5 linked regions of the Xenopus tropicalis genome follow. The protein of the gene in region 2 interacts with the protein of the main gene of each other region in a biochemical or structural test. Links are inferred from orthologs where the notes say so. Each region holds a gene or a part of one and is shown on either strand. Other genes may lie near its edges.

Region 1 (3,517 bases), on a different chromosome or scaffold from region 2:
AAAGGATAAGAACAGTAAGGATCATTGGGGGTGTTAAGATGTTAGGCACCCCCCTTTACTGCTAAAGGTGGCCAATGTTATTAATACATGAACATAAATATAAAAACCAATGACTGCAATACATAGTGCATTCTAGCAGCAATGGCTGCACTGAAAGTTAATACACAGTCAAAACTGCATGTGTAAGATTTTAATTGCATGTCGCAGAACAGAGAAATCTACTGTGATGGTAGTCAGTTACTTGCGAGCCACAGGCAGACAAGGGGTCGACTATAAACACACTTTTAGATAGCTGGCAGCGTAGCAGTAACAGAAAACCCAAAGCATTCAATATACCTTAGAAAGTCTAAAATCTAACAGAATCCTGTCTTCCATTTCCACAAGGTTCACCTTGAATATTAATTTATTATTTCTTCTGTCAGTAGTTGATAGGGTGACCTGTAGTAGACAAAAACAAAGTACCTAATTATACAGATGCAGTTTTTTTCTTGAAAAACAAGTATACTAATAATGCTTGTATTAACTTACTTCATAATGTAATTGTATTAACAAACAATTAGACTACATATTATAACAGTCCTTTAAACAAAAAAATTATCGCATAAGCAACCAATATTCTTTTCTTCCAGTTTACAGCACATGCTCTCATCTGCTGTCAGTTACCCTCTGTACAGTTAGGGGCTGTTATGGCACATAATACGCTGTCAGGGAGCCAGGTTTGCAAAAGCTGAGTTGGCAGGCGAGAAAATTCATATACATTTTTTTCATTTTGGGGTCTCTACATAATGCATACTTTGAAGCACCATATGCATAGATATACCAAACCAACAATTCCTATTTTCCTAATCAAATTAGGAATTGTTGGTTTGTTAAACAGGTAGCGTAAACTAAAGAAAATTGATTTAATTCTCTAGCACATAATTATTTATTCATTGCTCTGTGTATGTACAGGTATATGCAAAATATGTGTTTGCACTTGCACAGTATGTATGTGAAATGTAATGTTTCTTTTTGGGTGGGCCTTTAATTTGCAATTTTGTCTCATTTGTATACTCCGTATGCAAATGTGATAACAAAGCTGGAGACCTCTGGCATTCATATTTGGGGTAAACTGCTTTTGTATGTAAGAAACTGTGTAAGATAAATGCGTCATATTGCAACATTTTTAGACAGATTGGTACTTTGGTAAAGACGCCTTTTTACACCAATGTTGAAACTGTCAAAATGTGTACTTTCCAAAAACATATTGTTTTCCGTAAGCTTCTGTACAGTTAGGGGGTCTTTCATATATACAATATGCAGTCATGGGGCTCGTTTTGCAGAAATTAATTTTGGCAGACGAGAAAACTTCATTTGGCAGACGAGAAAACGTCATATGCTTTATATTTAATTTGGGGTTTGTACATTTCACATACTTTGGTATATCTATGAATATTGGGCATAAAACTGTTCAGTAGACTTCTGGTGTTCATATTTGGGGTGATTTGCCTTTGTATGTAAAAAAAAACTGCAAGATAAATGAGGCTAATTGCAAGATTTTTAGGCGATTTTTAAAAATGCTTTCAGAACCGCTAACCTTACAAAATTTGCGCTGTTTCTAAAATATATGGCTTTCAGAGGTCACCCTACTTTTTTGCAGTTTGTACCACACATAAAACTGCCAGTGTGTTTATGGATTAGGTGAATGGAAGTCATGAAATTAGTGCGCATAAGGTATATTTTGGGGTTCCTGAGGGCCATGTGCTTTGATAAACCTATGTACAGTGAGCATCAAACTGTTCTGTAGACCTCTAGGGTACCTAATGACCTGTAGGAGATAATATGCTGGAAGTTTTGAGGTGATTTTTAGAAAGTTCATCAAAATCAAGACGTTTAGGAAAGAACTTTTTTCTAGGTTTACCCCACTTAAAATGCTGTCAATGTGTTGATTTTGCAGTAACATGACAGATAATATGGCAAATAGAATCAGTTAACATGCGCTTACACAGTGAAAATAGCTTTTTGTAGCCCCAGGTGCACGCTGTACCCACTGCCCGGGCAAATAAGTACAAAAATGATGAAAACAGCAGCACTCCGGTTGTTTTGAAAAAATTTGAAACTTTACAGTGCCAAAAGCAACATTTCAGGCTTCAATCCAGCCCTTTATCAAGCCTCTCATCTCATCACCATTTATGGGCCTCTAAATGCCACATACTTGGGTAAACCTATACACATCTGGTATCTGGTAACTGTTCAGTAAACCCGTGGTGTTCATAGGAATAACAAAAAGAAAAAAAAAACCCATAGACCTTTGTGTTGAATACAACAATAGGCAGAAACTATGTTCAGCACAAGCCCTATTCATAGATGCTGAAAAGGAGGTAAACTGCCCCTTTATATGTACTGATTTTTGGATAGTATTTCTGGACAGTATCCAGTGACTGCTGTCTGATAAAAAAATGTGCCATGTTCCTAATTTGCCATTTATGATTTAAAGAAAATTAGTAAGCTCCACCAATTATACTACAGCTATGGGATCGCTTATCCAGAAACCATTTATCCAGAAAGTTCATCTCCCATAGACTCCATTATAAGCAAATAATTCTAATTTTTAAAAATGATTTCCTTTTTCTCTGTAATAATAAAACTGTACCATGTACTTGATATCAACTAAGATATAATTAATCCTTATTGAAGGCAAAACAATCCTATTGGGTTTATTCAATAAATGATTTTTAGCAGATTTAAGTTATAGAAATCCAAATTACAGAAAGATTCCTTATCTGGAAAACCCCATATCCCGAGCATTCTGGAAAACAGGTCCCATACCTGTACCTAAATTGTTATTCTGACTATTTTCCCTGGCCTCACTCCAGCCAAAAATGTAAACACCCTGAGGTTTCAGTTTCAACAATTGCTGCTTGTGTTGAAAAGCCAAAGATCTTAAGGGTCTATATTACTTGTACAAGAACTATTACCCCAAAATATACCTCAGAGCCAAAAGGCATTGTTAAAATGGCAACAGAAATGTAAAAATTTCAAACATTAAAAAGCACACCTTTACGTTTCGTTTACTGCTTTTTTGAAGAGCAAGTTTCAAAGACCTTTAAATCTTTTCAGACTACTAGAATTGGCCTATCATTATTGCTTTTACATATCAACTTTTATTGAAAAATTAAATTTTACAGTAATAGCTTAGAGATTGATTAAGATCACCTTTGATCCTTCAATCGTCAAGACAAAAACAGTCTGCAAGGTGTATGTACATTTTTGACCCATAGGAAATAAGATTGTTTTCTAAAAACAAGGATAGAAGAAACTAATGTACACTTTTTACTTTTATAGTTTTTTTGTGTTTACAATAAATAGTATTTTTGTTTGTTTTATATGCTTTTTCTTGTTTACTGGGGTTTTGGAAAATGTAAGCCTAAAATCATATGATTAGAAGCTTTATTGAGGGGGTACTCACCTGGTTAGCACAAGACTTCTTTAAAACATATCCCATTTTTTCACAAGTGTCCATCAAATTGCTGTACGA
Region 2 (3,517 bases):
GCCTGAAATCGTCCAGATATCGATCGGGCAGGTTAAAAAATCTAGTCGGATCGGGGACCAAATCGCCCAAATGATCGAATTAGCCTGGATTCTCCCGATATCGCCCACCCGTAGGTGGGGGATATCGGGACAAGATCCGCTCGTTTGGCAACATCACCAAGCGAGTGGATCTGAAGGTGTATGGGGACCTTTAGAGTGCTGAAAGGGTGGGTTAAAGAAGATTAACTTTGCTTATTTTAGTAAGTTCACATTTTAACGGATTTTATTTAGAAAGTTTCTTATGATCAGATGAAGCTCATATTACAGGTTTGTCATCATTCCCCATTTTAAGTAAAACAAAGAAGCCAAAGCTTGCATACCAAGTTTGCGGGTGCTATTTCCTGGATAAGGAAAGAGTTTCGCTGGCACAGGATCCTGCCGATACGCACTGTAGTTTTTCCTCAAGTCCCAAACCTTGACAATACTAAAAATAAGCAAAAGGGGATATAGCTGAAGCAGTTAAACCATGAGCAGCTGTACTTTACTGCGCATTCTCTTCTTGGGCTAAAAACCAGCGAGCAGCCACGCGCCTGAACTGAAACCTTACATGTTGTGCGATTGGGCGCCACATTCTACTGCAGAGCCAACACTACAAGCAACACTAATGCAAATAAATCTGCAGAAAATGATCAAGTGTGAGCAGTATGGCAGTTTTGTTTCCAGTGCTTCATTTAAACAAAGGGCTGGCTCACCTGTACATTTTTATTATGTTATAGAATGGCCAGCTCTAAGCAACTTTTCATTTGGTCTTTATAGTTTATTTGCCTTCTTCTGACTTTCCAGCTTTCAAATGGGGGTCACTGACCCAAGTAGCCATTTTTTTGTATCTGTTAAATTATATTCCTGACCTTTCTATTCAGGAACTCCCCTACTCAAATACCAGCCTTACATTTACACCAATGCCTGGTTGCTAGGGTAATCTTAACCCAAGCAACCAGATAGCTGCTGAAATACCAAACCAGAGAGTTGCTTGACAAAAAGCCAAATTCATAAACTACAAATAAATGAAAATTGCAAATAGTCTCAGAATATCACTTTCTACATTACACTAAGGGGCAGATTTACTAATGCACGAGCGGACCGAAAGCGTCCACGCGTTTTTCGTAATGATCTGTATTTTTGCGACTTTTTCGTTGCCGTCACAACTTTTTCGCATGTCCCGCGATTTTTTCATCGCTGTTCCGACTTTATCATATATTTTCCGCGACTTTTTCGTCGCCATCGTGAAAAAATCGGATTGGTTTTTCTGCCGTTTACAATTGCTCAATACGAAAAAATTGCGACAGCGACAAAAAAGTAGTGCAAAATACGATAAAGTCGTGATGGCCACGAAAAAATTGTGCAAAATACGAAAAAACGAGACGGCGAAGAAAAAGTTGCAAAATTTTTGTTTACAATCCGATTTTTTCCCATTCGGATTCGTGGATTAGTAAATGTGCCCCTATGTGTTATCAATGTTACCTGGAAAGGTAACCATTTTAAACATGATTTTAGTAATATAACAAACTTGAATTGAATGTAGCAAACAAATGCCGCACAACTGTGAAACTGAGATATAACAACCAATAAAGCTTGCTCATGGGTTTAAGCTGTTGAGCCAAATGGGGTTTTGCACAGAAGGAGATCTGAGATGTGCCCTAGTTCATCTCAAAGCAACAGGCACGAATAGCATTTAAAGAGCAGTAAGAACTACTTACCCATCCACTGCTCCTGCCGAGATAATGGTGTGCTCATCTTGAAAGATTACCACAGTCACACTCTGCTGGGAATCCTAAAATAGAAGCAAAGATTTGTAAGATGACAAGAAAATAAACTAACGCTCGTGACACATACAGGGGGGGACAAGTCCCACATCAATAACAGGAAAACCTAGTTTGTCAAGAGACTCAACTAAAATGGGTCACTCTAGACAAGGCCTCAACAGTCAGGAAAAAGAATTCAAGCAATGCTGAGTGATTAGTTCATAATCTAGTGATATTTCAGCATTTGTTATTTTTTTTTTTTCAAAGGTTTTTATTTATGCATTTGTAACATAAAACAACATTAAACAATGACATTGGTTCTACAAGCGAATTCTGTTCATGTCAGGATATATACAGTACATTGACTTATATAATCAGTAACAACCTACTCAAGGTAATGTTAAGGCTTCCGTCAGAGAGGGTGAAGTGGACTCTGGGGTTCTCAGTGGGATTCGGATTCTTTGGGACAAGATTATGTGATGCTATTCCATAGCCTCGACCCATCCTCCCCATACTTTGTCATATTTTTGGGGGCATCCCCTTGCTGTGTAAGTGAGTTGTATCAGTGGCAGAAGGGCTTTAAGTAAATTGAGCCAAGTAGGGATTGTCGGGGGAGAGTGTGCCATCCATTGCAAGAGGATACATTTCCTGGCATAAAACAATAATGTTCTAAAGAGGATGCGTGATGCTGATTTAGGAATGATATCATCTATAATGCCAAGTAAACAAATCTTGGGATCGAGTATTTTAGGTAAAGATGTTGCATTTTGGATGTGGTCAAGGACCTGGTCCCAAAAGTAGTGTATTTGTGGGCATAACCACATTAGGTGAAAATAGTCGGCTTCAGGGGCACCACATTTAGGGCACTGAGACGAATCACAAATTCCCATTCGATATAACCGTAAGGGGGTCAGATGGAGTTTATGAATGATTTTGCATTGGATTAGTTTGTCTCTTGTAGAGATCAAGTAGTCATAGGCCCTGTCTGTCGCTTCCTCCCAGTCTTCGTTGTGCAGCTCCGGTATGTCTTGGCACCAAGCTTTTTGGGCTGTGAGAAAGGGCGATTGGAGCGTAGAGAGGAGCAGAGAGTATACTGTGGTGATCAGCTTTTTGGGGGAGGGGTTTCGAAGGGTGGTTTCAAGCTTAGTAAGCACAAAGGGGACTATGGTTCTTTGGAATTGGTGTCGGAAGGCCTGTTGGAGTTGTAAGTATGAGAACCAGGGTAATAGGTCTCCAGTATCTATGTGTTTGATCTGGCTCCTAGGTAGCAGGGCCCCAGCATTGGTCACATCTCCCAGTGTACGTATGCCCCAGTGTGGCCACACCCGGTATGGGGCAATTTGTTGGAAGTTGGGTAAGTAGTAGTTTCCCCACAATGGCAGGCCCGGTGATAGGATTGGACGTTTCAATTTGTATAATTGTAGTATCTTTTGCCATGCTTTGTAGGGTGTCACAATGACTGGGTGGTTGGTTTGGATATCTAATGGTTTACGAAATGGGATATACTTCAGAGACTCCATTGAGCTAGCTAAGGTTGCCTGGAGTGGAACATTGGGGTTAGTGAGATCTGGGGAGAACCACCATTGGACGTAATAGACCTGTGCTGCTAGGAAGTAAAATTGCCAATGTGGGAGACCTAGACCGCCTTCCGTGATTGGTGCTCTAAGTTTGGCTCTGGAGAATCTGGGAGGTTTGTTGGCCCACAGAAAGGCAGTCTGTGCTTTATCTTGAGAGGC
Region 3 (3,517 bases), on a different chromosome or scaffold from region 2:
AATAAACAATAACTCTGTAAGTGCAAGAAAAACATTTAACAACTGGACGTGAAAATGATGTCCACCCACCCTCCAGGTGGTAGTATTTTAAAGATATCAGTGTTAGCACAGTTAAGCTGGCTTTACATGCCCAGATATATTATTCTGACATATTGATCTGTTCATCTGCTGATGCAATATGCATCAATAGATGAAGGAGTAAAGAAAATTTGTAGCTCCTCTTCACTTCCTGCTATTTCAATTGTTTAATTAAACAAATGGAACACTAGTATGGCAGCCATACATGTAAATGGCCACTCATATGGTAGCCGCCAATTCAGCCAGAGGGCTGATTGGTAGGATACTGAAGAGTATTATCCAGTGTATGGTCCCCTTTAAAAAGCCCCAAGGTATGATGCTGAGTGCTAAAGCAAAGTGGCCTGCACACATGGACTAACATTTTAGTGCATTACTGAATATTGCTCTGAATCTTGTCAAAATCTGTTGCAAACTTCTAAATATTAGCCATTTTCATTAACTTAGTATCATTTATATACATATATCTATAAAACCGCAGTGTTTTACTATTTAGAATTACAAAAAAAGTATTTTGCAACAACTAGAAACTCAGCAAACATACACCACTAAAGCTAATGCTTATCTCTTCTTCCGGTTGTTTAAATTATTAAAGTAATAGTGAGGTACAATCTGTGAGGATTTTGAAGTTCTCTGGAGTCTATGTAATGTCCATTAAAGTCCAGGTTTTGTATAAGAGCATGAAAATCCAGCGTTCTGACACCTTAAACTGAGAAATGAAAATTTGTTCAGGTCCAAAGAAAGGACCTCACAAACAGCATAGTGATCAATCGCGGGGGCTGGGTTTAGGTGAACATCTCCGCTTGACAGGATAAAAATCTGTTAAGGCAAAAACAGAAGCAGAGATTAAATATTAATAATGGTTGCTAAGTATAATAATGGGTGCTAAGAATACTTGCAATACTTGATGTCAAGTCATGCAAAAACCAGTTAATGAAAGAATGCAGCATATACATTGGAGCAGCACTAATGATGCAATGAGTGTATATCCTATAAAGCAGGGGCCCCTAACCTTTTTTTACCTGTGAGCAGCATTTAAATATAAAAAAGTAGGGATGTGGTAGGTTATTTGGTAGCCCAATGTGGACTGGCAAGCTACAGGCTCTGTTTGGCAGTACACATGCCGCCATGTGTAATAAAATGTGCTAAGTTTGCCCAGTAGCAGTTACCCCAAGCAACCAATATGTTTTCTTTTAAATAGGTAACCAGTTAATTCTACCTGCTAATTGGTTGCTATGGGTCTTTTATCATATAACCCCAATAGTGTTTTAAACTGGAAGATGGAAAAAGTCAGAAGTCTCTCTTCTAAGTTAGAAATTCAAAAATGAGCACCTGTTTGAGACCACTGGGAGCAATATAAAAGGGGTTGGTTAACATGCTTGTGAGCTACTGGTTTGAGATCACTGCTACAGAGCATACTCTCTGATAATATTTATATTCTAACTGCTATGTGGAACTGTTACAATTACCTGTGATCAGCTTTTGTTTCCTTTTGCCTGAATCGCTGCTTTCACAATTCTGGGAAGCTTTATGGGATTGGTTAATGTTACACATCTCTGCGGCTACATCTTGGCACTGGTTTTCTTTTTCACTTTCCTGCGAATTGCAATTCAAGGTTTTGTCTTCTACCTTCTCCCAATCATATTGCCCTTCAAGAGGAGTTTCAGTGACAAAGTCAAAGTTCCATTTAGCTTTTGCTTCCTCGTTGGATCTCTGCATAAGTTCATGAAATTCAGTTTTTAGCTGTTCATGGTCCACAGCTTCAAAAAGCATTCGACAAGCCTTTTCCTTATTTCCAGATGCTTGCTTGAGGATGGCTATGGCTGACTGCATTTTCTCTGAAAGGGCAGAAAAACAATTGTTGCAACATTAAAAATACAGTAAATATTGTTCCCTTCAGTCAACATCAATCAGTCTGTCTGTATATACTGTATTGCTCTTAGCGCTTAGCCAGCTTGTGCAGCAATAATGCAACTAATAAAACACACACAAGTGCACAGAAACCACATAGAATTATTCCTAAATCTATCGTATTGGAAGCTGCCACATTGGTTGCTGTGCTGCAATATTCTTGGCTTTTAATCAGTTACATTTTAACAATAAACCTCTCAAACATGGGGATACCAGAAGAAAATGAAGAAAATGTTTAAGGGCTCTGAATGGTGGGCCCGCTATATCATGTTCTCTGGTGGGCCATTGGTGTCCTAGTTCTACGCATTATCATTATTCAGTCATAAAATACATGGCCACACCCTATTCTGGGCATTTGAAGTCAGAAGGAGTGTAAGATAAACAACATGCCCTGTCAGTGTGATGCCCATAATGATGCAACTGCAACTTGAATCCCTATGGTAAGAGGTACAAGTTTTGCATTGGTATTCTTGCATCACGTGTGCTTAGTGGCAGCCACAACACCGATAAGAGGTAAATACTTTTGCATTGTAGAGGCAAAATTATACAAGTTTTCCATCATTTACATTTAGCCTTATTTGTAATTAAGGTACTCATTAGCCAAATAACTGAGAACTGTGAACACTGTACACTATTATATAGCATTAATGAAAGAATAGTGTTACTGAATAGCCCTACTTGATAAACGCCATATTGAATAAAGGCTTCAGGAGCAGGTCTGATAATGACAACAACACACATAAATGGAAAAATTGTAAGTTATTTATTATTTCTTGTGGAACAGAGATTTTTCCCTGATGCATAAAGAATGATGGGTCAGATTCACATTTATGAGAAAAGCTTATCTCCTAAATCAATTTCAGATGCAATTCAATAAGAAAAATGTATTGCACTGTTTATTACATGAAAACTGAATTAGGAGAAAATGGGCCCGATTCACTAAAGTCCGAAATAAGGAGTGCTATTTATAGCATGCGTTAAAAATCTTATCACTTCTTATTTTTCGCTCGATTCACTAAAAGGACACTTGTCATAATTAAGAAGCGATGTTCTTGGCGTTATTTATCTTGCGACAACATATTTTCAAGCAATATATTACGCAGCGCACAACATATTACGCAGCACGCTATATTTTACGCAGAGCGCAAAATTTTCAGAACGGTAGTCTTCAGAAAGTAATGGTTACGTGGGTAATATATTGCGCTCTGCGTAAAATATCGCACGCTGCGTAATATGTTGTGCGCTGCGTAATATATTGCTTGAAAATATGTCGTCGCAAGATAAATAACGCCAAGAACATCGCTTCTTAATTATGACAAGTGTCCTTTTAGTGAATCGAGCGAAAAATAAGAAGTGATAAGATTTTTAACGCATGCTATATATAGCACTCCTTATTTCGGACTTTAGTGAATCGGGCCCAATGTTTCTAGCCTCAAATTTAATCTCGTCCATATATTCTTGTTGATTGGAATTTGGCCCTATATATTACTATAGAGAGCAATTCATTTAAGATATAAGACGGATTTTGGAA
Region 4 (4,181 bases), on a different chromosome or scaffold from region 2:
TAATGGCAACCGTACGCAGAACGTGTATGTGGACCAGCCCTACTCTGTGCCAACCCAGCACTGTCCGTTCCGCCATACGTCACCTTACCCAGCGAGGCAGGGGGACTCCGAGACGGAAAGAACCCGGGCAGGGCTGCAAGCACACTCATTCTGCCGGCTAAAGGCCCACGGTCACATTATAGTTGAATAAATAAACCCACCATATTCCACCACAAATTCACAGCCATTGTTTAATATTTGTACAAATCCCAGTACTTTTTGCAAAAGTTGGTTGTCACTTTAAAAGAGGCCACAGGGGTGTAAGCAGACCCTGTGCATGCAGGGGGGGGGGGGGGGGGGGGTAGGAGTGTAGGGGAACCAGTAAGGCACTAGATAATGAGCAGTTTAAATATATATTGATAGAACTTGTTAATTTACCAATGTTTTGGGCCCTAAAAAAATGAGTTTGCTGTGGGGCTCAGTAACCTCTAGTTCCACCACTGGGAGGCCATGAGCAGTCTGATCAGGTATGCTCTCCCAACAGACATACAAGAGGCCATATGTGGTGTGGCTGACTTATTATTGTGATTGTTAGGGTAAATAGTTCTAATGTTCACAACAGCAAGAACCCAAAAGCAGCTACTTCTGCCAATGTACCATGCACTGGCTGCTATACACATACCAATAATCACATTGCATGAAATCTTTGCTTTGTATGATAATATTGGTACATATATGGCCGACTTGATTGATCATTAATGGTACTGGCACATGGGGAATTTAGTCTGCACTATTCATTTTTACTACCACATGAAACTACTCTCCACAGAACACAGGACTTTGGAGGCAACTTCAGAAAAACAAAGGCACATTGGGGTTTAGAATTATGGGGATTCAGTATTTGGCCAAATTATTTAAAAAAAAAAAAAAGGTTTGGTGCATCCTTAGATTAGAGTATTCTAATGAAGATTAAGCACAGTTGAGGTGTGAACCAAGAGCAAATGGCCAAACAGATCAGCAGCTGAATATATATTTGCGTTAGTGGAGACTGACAGATATAAGGGACTGGGCAAATGGGTTTTGCCAACACAATTACATAGTTATTTTTCAGTGTTTTACTGGTATTCGGCTGTTGTTGTTTAGGAACTACATTATCCTAAAAGGTTTATATTCACATTAAAATATTAACAGTATATAATTATTTTTAGATCAAGTTATTAATTTCTATAGTGAAGTAATGGAGATTTTGATGCCATAACAAAATCATAGTTTTAGACAATCATTTTTTTCCATCCATGGACAAAGCATAATTATTTGTGAGGCCATGGTGTTCTATTTCACCTCCTGATACAAAGACAATAGGCTAAAGTCACACACAGTTGTTTATCTGCCTCCAGCTAATACAGCTGATTCACTACCATCATCTACAGCTGAACTGACAGGCATGGTTTTAGACTGTGCGTAAACACATGCAAGAGAATGCATTTCTACACCAAAATCCACTCCATGTGTCAGCAAAGAGGCCAATGATGTGCCTATCTACATCACGGAGTGGATCATTAGTTTCTCTGCCTATGTTTCCAAGCAGGCAGAGAAACAGACAGGTGTGGCATTAGCCTTATAGGGGACTATATTATCATACAAATGGGTCTATTGGGAGCCATCCCCCTGTGGACAGAAGGGTGGGGAAGCCAAGGGTTAAGATCAAATTAAATGGTCATCAACTCCAAAGGACAACATTTTACCTAATAAAAAGAAAACGTAGCTTTCCAATATTTATTCATAAAAAGGGTCACTTATTTGTAACTGCAATTAAAAGCATCTGTTTGCCCATTGAACCTAATGGTTCCGACTTTTGAAACAAATGAGCAGCAGCCAGCAGATTAAAGGAACAGTAACATCAAAAAATTAAAGTGTTTTAAAGCAATTAAAATATAATGTGCTGTTGCTCTGCAAAAAATTGTGTTTTTGCTACAGAAAAGCTACTATATAAATAAGCTGCTGTGTAGCCATGGGGGCAGCCATTCAAGCTGGAAAAAAGGAGAAAAGGCTGTTATCTGCTAAGTAATCTGTGCCTTTTCTCCTTTGAATGGCTGCCCCCATGGCTACACAGCAGCTAACTTATATAAACTATAGTAGTCTTTCGGAGGCAAACACACCAGTTGTAGCAATGCAGGGCAACAGTACATTACTTTTATGCACTTTCATTTTTTGGTGTTACTGTTCCTTTAACAGACTTGTTTCGGTGGAAGAGAAGTGACCTTTCTAGGTTTTCATGTAGCAGTGAATAGCAGTGACATGATCAGAAGCTACCGGGATCCATAGCAGTCATGTAAGGGTTCTCCAAAAGTTTAGGATGATATTTTCAGTGCCTTCTGCCTCCTACCCCCTGCTGCAGGGCAGAATATTAGTGTGCCCCCACTAGTTGCTTTCCTTGCACTAAAACGCCTTACTTTTCCGGCTGTTGGGTTGAACACATAGTCGCACCTACAGACCGGCTACCTACACAAACTATTAAGACATTGCGGAGCATTGATTCCCGATAGCGAACCAAATATCTTCTTAGTATGACCCAAGATTACTAACGATGCACATGCAATCTAGCCATGTTTGTTTCACTACTAACTACATACTACTAAACGTTTCATTAATTAAAATACACAAATGTACCTCTTCCCATGATGCCTTGGTGTTCGATTATCCCTGCTCGCCTCGAAATCCAACAGTATAAATAGCAAAACGCAGAAGGAATATGTAGTATGCACGCCACTGCATTAGGTTTAAAGCCCCACGAAACACATTTTAAGAAAGAAGCTTAAACCCGCACGTATCCGCCCATCTCTTCCACAATTGGCTTACATTGCTGTCCATCGAAACAACCCTTTTATGGCATTGGTGTAACACCAAGCGTATTGCAACGCCCAACACAATGGCCACGACCCTCTAGTTTCGCGTGTGCTTTTTTGAAAATTGTATTACCCTGTGTCTGATTGGACCCGGTGGGAACGATGTTGCAATCTCATTGGTCAGTATGACTGTGCAGGAGTTCTGGGTGTAAACTGAATGGCATTTGGTAATGTTCGGAGTTTTTCAGGTGTGCAGAACAGAGGAGAACAATAATTACAATTTTGCGTGCGTATGTTGTGTTTATCAGACAGTATTTGGGGCTTCCATCCCAAGGACTGTCTATAAAGTTACAACGCCTTGGGGGCATTTAAAAAGGTGCACGATAACGCTGCAGCGATAAATACGGTGAGCAGCGCAAAAGACGATCTGTAGACTGCGTAGTAGCCTACAAAATCTGATCTCCATTAATTGTAACTTAAAGTCGGATCAGATAAAGTTGGTCTGTGTGTTTTGTTCCTGCATTCAGTGTTTCCTTCCGATAGGCGTGTAGCGTTCCATTGTAATCCTTTCATGTACTTACCCATCAGTTTTTTGTTTTAGTTCCAATATATACAGTATTTTAACCCATGCAACTACATCAGACCTAGGAGTAGGATGCGTTTTGACAATCGGACACCATCCTACAAACTTTCCATGGAGTTTATAACTATTTACAATTGGTTTTGATTGTTATGTTTTTAAAGGTTTGTGAATGATTAAGCTTTCTGTTCAGTAGCTCTCCAGTTTGAAATTTAAACAGTTGTGTGTTTGTTAGGTTTACCCTAGCAATCAAGCAGTGGTTTCAGTGAGAGACTGGAAGATAAATAGGACGGACAGGGCCTCAATAGAATGAGAAGCAACAAAAAATAACAATACAATTCTAGCCTAACAGAGCAATAGTTATTTGGCTGCTGGGGTCAGTGACCTCCATGGGAGAGCTGAAAAGAGGCAGAATAAAAAGAAAAATAAGACCAACTGAAAAGGTGTAAAAAATAAAATATTCTATAACATGCTTAAAACAAATAACCCCTTTAAGAATTCTTAGAAAATAATGTGTTGTGCTTTATTGATACTAGCATTCCATGTGTGTTCTAGCCCTAACCTGACATAGTTACCAGCAGCCATAATAGTGACACTAGATTCTTATGATTGTTTTTAGTACATATAATTTGTTTCAGACCTTCTATTGATTTTCCAGTCTGTCATTCAAACCATTTGCCTGGTTGTGAGGGTGAGTGGGACCAGAGAATAGTTACAGTTTAAATCTGAATATCTGCATTGGCCTTTAAAAAAAGGTTAACTGCTGCATATCCATC
Region 5 (4,151 bases), on a different chromosome or scaffold from region 2:
CCACTCTATAAAAAGCCAGAAAAAAAAACGCAAGTATCCCTTGGTGCTGCAGAGGTTTGCCACTGCAAATACATAGACATACATAATACTCCTTTGTAAACAGTAAACAGTGTATTGTTGCTCTTTGTATCACCGTTTACCAATAAATGTGGCAATGCTCCTTTATACTGTATGAGCAGACAAGTTCTTTTGCCGAGAATTCCTTCATTTCTACTTCAAGCCTGTATATGAAACAGTACTACAATTTAGGTGTGCATTGTGTCTGTTTGATATAGGATTAGTTGTACTATTAGTATATCAGAAAAAATCACAAGCACTTAATACCAGTTGTACAAAAAAATGAAGAGGCTGGTAAGGTCTTTTGCCAAAACAGAGTAATTTTTTTTTTTTACATACAATTACTACTTTTTAAAGGCAAACTAACAGCACAATTTCCTGAGTTTCTACCTTATTTTAGCTGCATCAGCTAAACCTTTATATATAAATTTATTATGGGCATACCCAGGGCTGTATATTGGTCATGTGCCATCCTAGGCACCAGCCTAGTTTACCCCCCCCCCACTTAGCAACTGGTGCACATGCATTGCAGTTTGCATAATGCTCATGCACCAATAACTGATAGAAATTTCTTAGAAATTATTAAATTCCCCCACTTTGCACTAAGGCCTCTGGCACACGGGGAGATTAGTCGCCCGCGACAAATCTCCCTGTTCGCGGGCGACTAATCTCCCCGAAAATGTAAATCGCCAGTGGGATGGCATATGCGGCAGGGCAATTTCAGTGAAATCGCGGAAATTGCCTTGAGGAAACATCCGTGATTTCACTGAAATCGCGCCATCCCGATTTACATTTTCGCCGGTGGGATGGCATTTCGGGGAAATTAGTCGCCCGCGAACAGGGAGATTTGTCGCGGGCAACTAATCTCCCCATGTGCCAGAGCCCTAAAGAGATCAGGGCCAGAAGCCACATTGATACCACTAAACAATCTGTTTGCAAATGTCAACAAACACACTTCTGTGTGGGCCCAAAATGAACCAGCCTGACCTGATTCTGATTAGCCATGTTAGTAAATGGTGAATAGCCTCACAAATCTGTGTAAAGTGTTGCAGTTATCACCTTAACAGTTATTTAGCAGATTGTCTAAGGGCTCTGGCACATGGGGAAATTAGTCGCCCACAACAAAACTCCCTGTTCGCGGTCGACTAATCTCCCCAGATTGCCATCCCACCTGCGAAAATGTAAATCGCTGGCGGCGTGATTTCAGTGAAATTGCGCAAGTTGCCTCGAGAGGAAACCTGCGCGATTTCATTGAAATCGCGCCACCCCGTATGCCCGAGACACAGGTGGGATGGCATTTCAGGGAGATTAGTCGCGGGCGACTAATCTCCCCGTGTGCCAGAGCCCTAAGGGCAAGGATGCTTTCTGTTGATCTGAAACCATCCTACAAAAGCTCCCGTGTAGTTTAGTCCTGAATGTTGCTTCACTAACACCAGCATGATTTGTGTGTTGTGTGTAGACAAATGCCTAAAATAAACAGTGTTCACTTTCAAATTATTCTGGAAGTGGACATTGAAGAAAGATTTTCAGTGTTTTGGCACTGGTCCCATGAGATACTAAAAAAAAAAAAAAAAATGGCTTTGGCCAATGAGTCCCACAGGAATATTGACACTGCAGCTTAGATCGGTTGTGACAAAGATTTTTTTTTTAATAGAAAAGATTGCCTTTGCATTGAAGATATCCCTTAACTGTAGCGCTCTTAGTATTGACACACAGATCTGGTTGGGTCAAACAGGAATGCTTGTAACAAGCATCAAATCCCCTAAGTGCTCCAAAATATTGCGGATCCCTATAGAAAGAATCAAGCATTACCAGCTTAAAACACTTTGGCTTTATGCTGGTTAGGAGTGCATCAATACACAAGCCCTTAGAAGTCAAAACTGCCATTCCAGATAGATTCAACCATAATAAAATAACGCCAAAAGGAAACTGTAATTTTACCATCATGAAAAAACCAAACAGGCAAACGTTTGCCCCAAACTACTGGGTGACACAAGACAGCATGCTAGTTTCTGAATTCCAAATTAAAGGAGATTTTATTTTGACCAGAGCACCCTTGTAATCACCTGGTCCTTAAGCACATTCTGGTCAAAGTATTACACTCCCTGAAGTGACCTATCAAAGAGCTGATTGAATGGTGCCATCCCTCTTTACCTTTAAAGTTCTTGATGACTAACTTCTTGGCTGAGCCAGGCTTGCTGTTGGCAAAACTGGACACGGGTGAGGCTTTTGTGAGGCCATTGGCATGATGCCCAACGCCCACTGGGGAGATGAGCAGGTTTTTACTCCTCACTGCCTGGGGAGTAGAGGAGGATGAGCAGGAAGAAGAAGGAGACTCCTCGGCCATCTTCACATCGAGTCCTAGAAAGTCCAAAGTGTCTTCAAAACGCAGCTTCTTTTGGATGTGGTTAGAGGAGGAAGAGGAGTTTCTGGGGGGCGACAGGGGGTCCAAATCGTCCTTATCGCTGCTGCTGATATTCAACCTTCTCTTTTTGGAGGTGCTGTTTCCCTCAGTCCTTACCTCCTGCGCCGGGGGGTTGGGGGTTGATAAGCCTGTGGGAAACATGAAAACACCACAAATAGAAAAGATTCAAGGCAGCCCAGACTGTGTGTGACCGCTGGATCGTGTGGGGACCGCAACAAACAGCTAACGTGGCCCTTTGGTTAGCGCTTCCCAGTGGCCCCCTCGGCAGGCACTCTGCTTTAGTTCTGCTCGGTGAAGGCCCCGGCCCCGCTCTCCGGATATCCCCACTCTTTTTCTTGTTTATTGTCACAAGAGCAGGGAACCAAAGATGGCCTCACTTCCTCTCGCAGTGCATGTTGGGAAGAGTTCCCCAGGAGGCTGCCGTGAGCCCACACCCCTTCCCAGCCGGGACAGTCAGGGAGCCTTTGACGCCAGCTGCTGCCAAACTATCAAAACCAAAGGGGTAGCGCTTACTGCATTAACTATAGCGCGAAAGGCTGGCTGTGTTCCCTCTCTCCCCTCCCCTTTTTATTCTACTGTGATGTCATGGCAACCTTCGTACCTTGTTTTGACTGACCGGAAGGACTAGCGATGAGGTCTTTCATAATGCCCGACCGTGCGGGCCTCATCCGTCCCCTTTCTCCTCGCCGAGCTTCCGCCTTAGGTTGGTGCCGGCGAGGAGTCCCGACAAGGGGAAGGAAGGGGCTGAGGCTGGAAACTACTCGAGGGGGAGGAGTCGAGGGTTGAATATTCCCGCCTCTGTAGTGACGCCTAAAGGGAATAAGGACCAATAATCAGCTTGGTTTGGGTGACATTTCCCCCTGATGCCTCCACATGGTACCGCCTGTTCAGCAGCGTGGGGGCCGGAGAGGCTTAGAATAGTTACATAAAGGAGAGCGCCAGTAGTTGCGTGTGACGCTTCCCGCTTAAAATGAGTTCCTTGTGGAAGCTCCTCAGTAACTACTCAGTACTACTACTCAGTAAGCGTCAAACATGAAGTTTGTGTCTGAAAGCAATGTATAATGGCGTGTATAGCAGGGATGAAAAGTACATATATTAACCCCACTATTCATTTAAGTGCCAGATTAAAATAAACTTATATCATACAAAGTGGTCAATTTGGGTGATATAATAATCTCTGGGAGAGTAAGGCTTCCCATTGGATTACGCAGCTGTATACCAGATTCTGACTGAAAGCAATGGCTGAATGTGTTTTTTTTTTATAAAGCAGCTATTCTGGGTTCTCTATGTGCTTGTGAGCCTGCATACAAGTTATAACACCAGCAAAAACAACACATGTTAAGCACACCAAAAGGTGTATGCTCATACTTAGTTTCAGCACTTGACCCTATTCAATTGTTTTTTTTTTTTAACAGATATGCAAGCACTGGTCACTGCATAAAGCACTTATGAATCATCTGGTAAAGCTTAATAGAGATGTTACATATAACTAAATAACTAATTTGGGTTGACAAAAGCCCAAAGCCTATCAAGTTCAACATCTCTAAAAACCCCAGTGCACAAAAATACACATACCTATATAGACCAATCTATACACTTACAAATATAAACTATATATACCCAAATAATGTTGAAGCTAGGTGTTTGTAGAACTCACGGGCGTTGCTGC

The links.
Region 1: of the proteins of dtl (region 2) and chek1, one has a biochemical effect on the other in vitro, tested with the Homo sapiens proteins (2 studies listed by BioGRID). The link is inferred for Xenopus tropicalis from reciprocal best matches to the Homo sapiens genes DTL and CHEK1.
Region 3: of the proteins of dtl (region 2) and cdkn1a, one has a biochemical effect on the other in vitro, tested with the Homo sapiens proteins (3 studies listed by BioGRID, with this or other methods). The link is inferred for Xenopus tropicalis from reciprocal best matches to the Homo sapiens genes DTL and CDKN1A.
Region 4: the proteins of dtl (region 2) and kmt5a form a complex in vitro, tested with the Homo sapiens proteins (2 studies listed by BioGRID, with this or other methods). The link is inferred for Xenopus tropicalis from reciprocal best matches to the Homo sapiens genes DTL and KMT5A.
Region 5: the proteins of dtl (region 2) and cul4b form a complex in vitro, tested with the Homo sapiens proteins (2 studies listed by BioGRID). The link is inferred for Xenopus tropicalis from reciprocal best matches to the Homo sapiens genes DTL and CUL4B.

The regions. Positions count from the first base shown.
Region 1 is NC_030683.2:74,045,680-74,049,196, forward strand, and holds part of chek1 (serine/threonine-protein kinase Chk1), read right to left. Parts: coding exon 3,449-3,517; intron 439-3,448; coding exon 337-438; intron 1-336. UniProt on the Homo sapiens protein: Serine/threonine-protein kinase which is required for checkpoint-mediated cell cycle arrest and activation of DNA repair in response to the presence of DNA damage or unreplicated DNA.
Region 2 is NC_030681.2:14,739,116-14,742,632, forward strand, and holds part of dtl (denticleless protein homolog), read right to left. Parts: intron 1,811-3,517; coding exon 1,737-1,810; intron 464-1,736; coding exon 360-463; intron 1-359. UniProt on the Homo sapiens protein: Substrate-specific adapter of a DCX (DDB1-CUL4-X-box) E3 ubiquitin-protein ligase complex required for cell cycle control, DNA damage response and translesion DNA synthesis.
Region 3 is NC_030678.2:54,653,594-54,657,110, forward strand, and holds part of cdkn1a (cyclin-dependent kinase inhibitor 1), read right to left. Parts: intron 1,914-3,517; coding exon 1,545-1,913; intron 895-1,544; coding exon 842-894; 3' UTR 1-841. UniProt on the Homo sapiens protein: Plays an important role in controlling cell cycle progression and DNA damage-induced G2 arrest. Involved in p53/TP53 mediated inhibition of cellular proliferation in response to DNA damage.
Region 4 is NC_030677.2:161,074,440-161,078,620, forward strand, and holds the start of kmt5a (N-lysine methyltransferase KMT5A), read right to left. Parts: upstream 2,804-4,181; 5' UTR 2,660-2,803; coding exon 2,650-2,659; intron 1-2,649. UniProt on the Homo sapiens protein: Protein-lysine N-methyltransferase that monomethylates both histones and non-histone proteins. Specifically monomethylates 'Lys-20' of histone H4 (H4K20me1).
Region 5 is NC_030684.2:46,091,661-46,095,811, forward strand, and holds the start of cul4b (cullin-4B), read right to left. Parts: upstream 2,816-4,151; 5' UTR 2,624-2,815; coding exon 2,212-2,623; intron 1-2,211.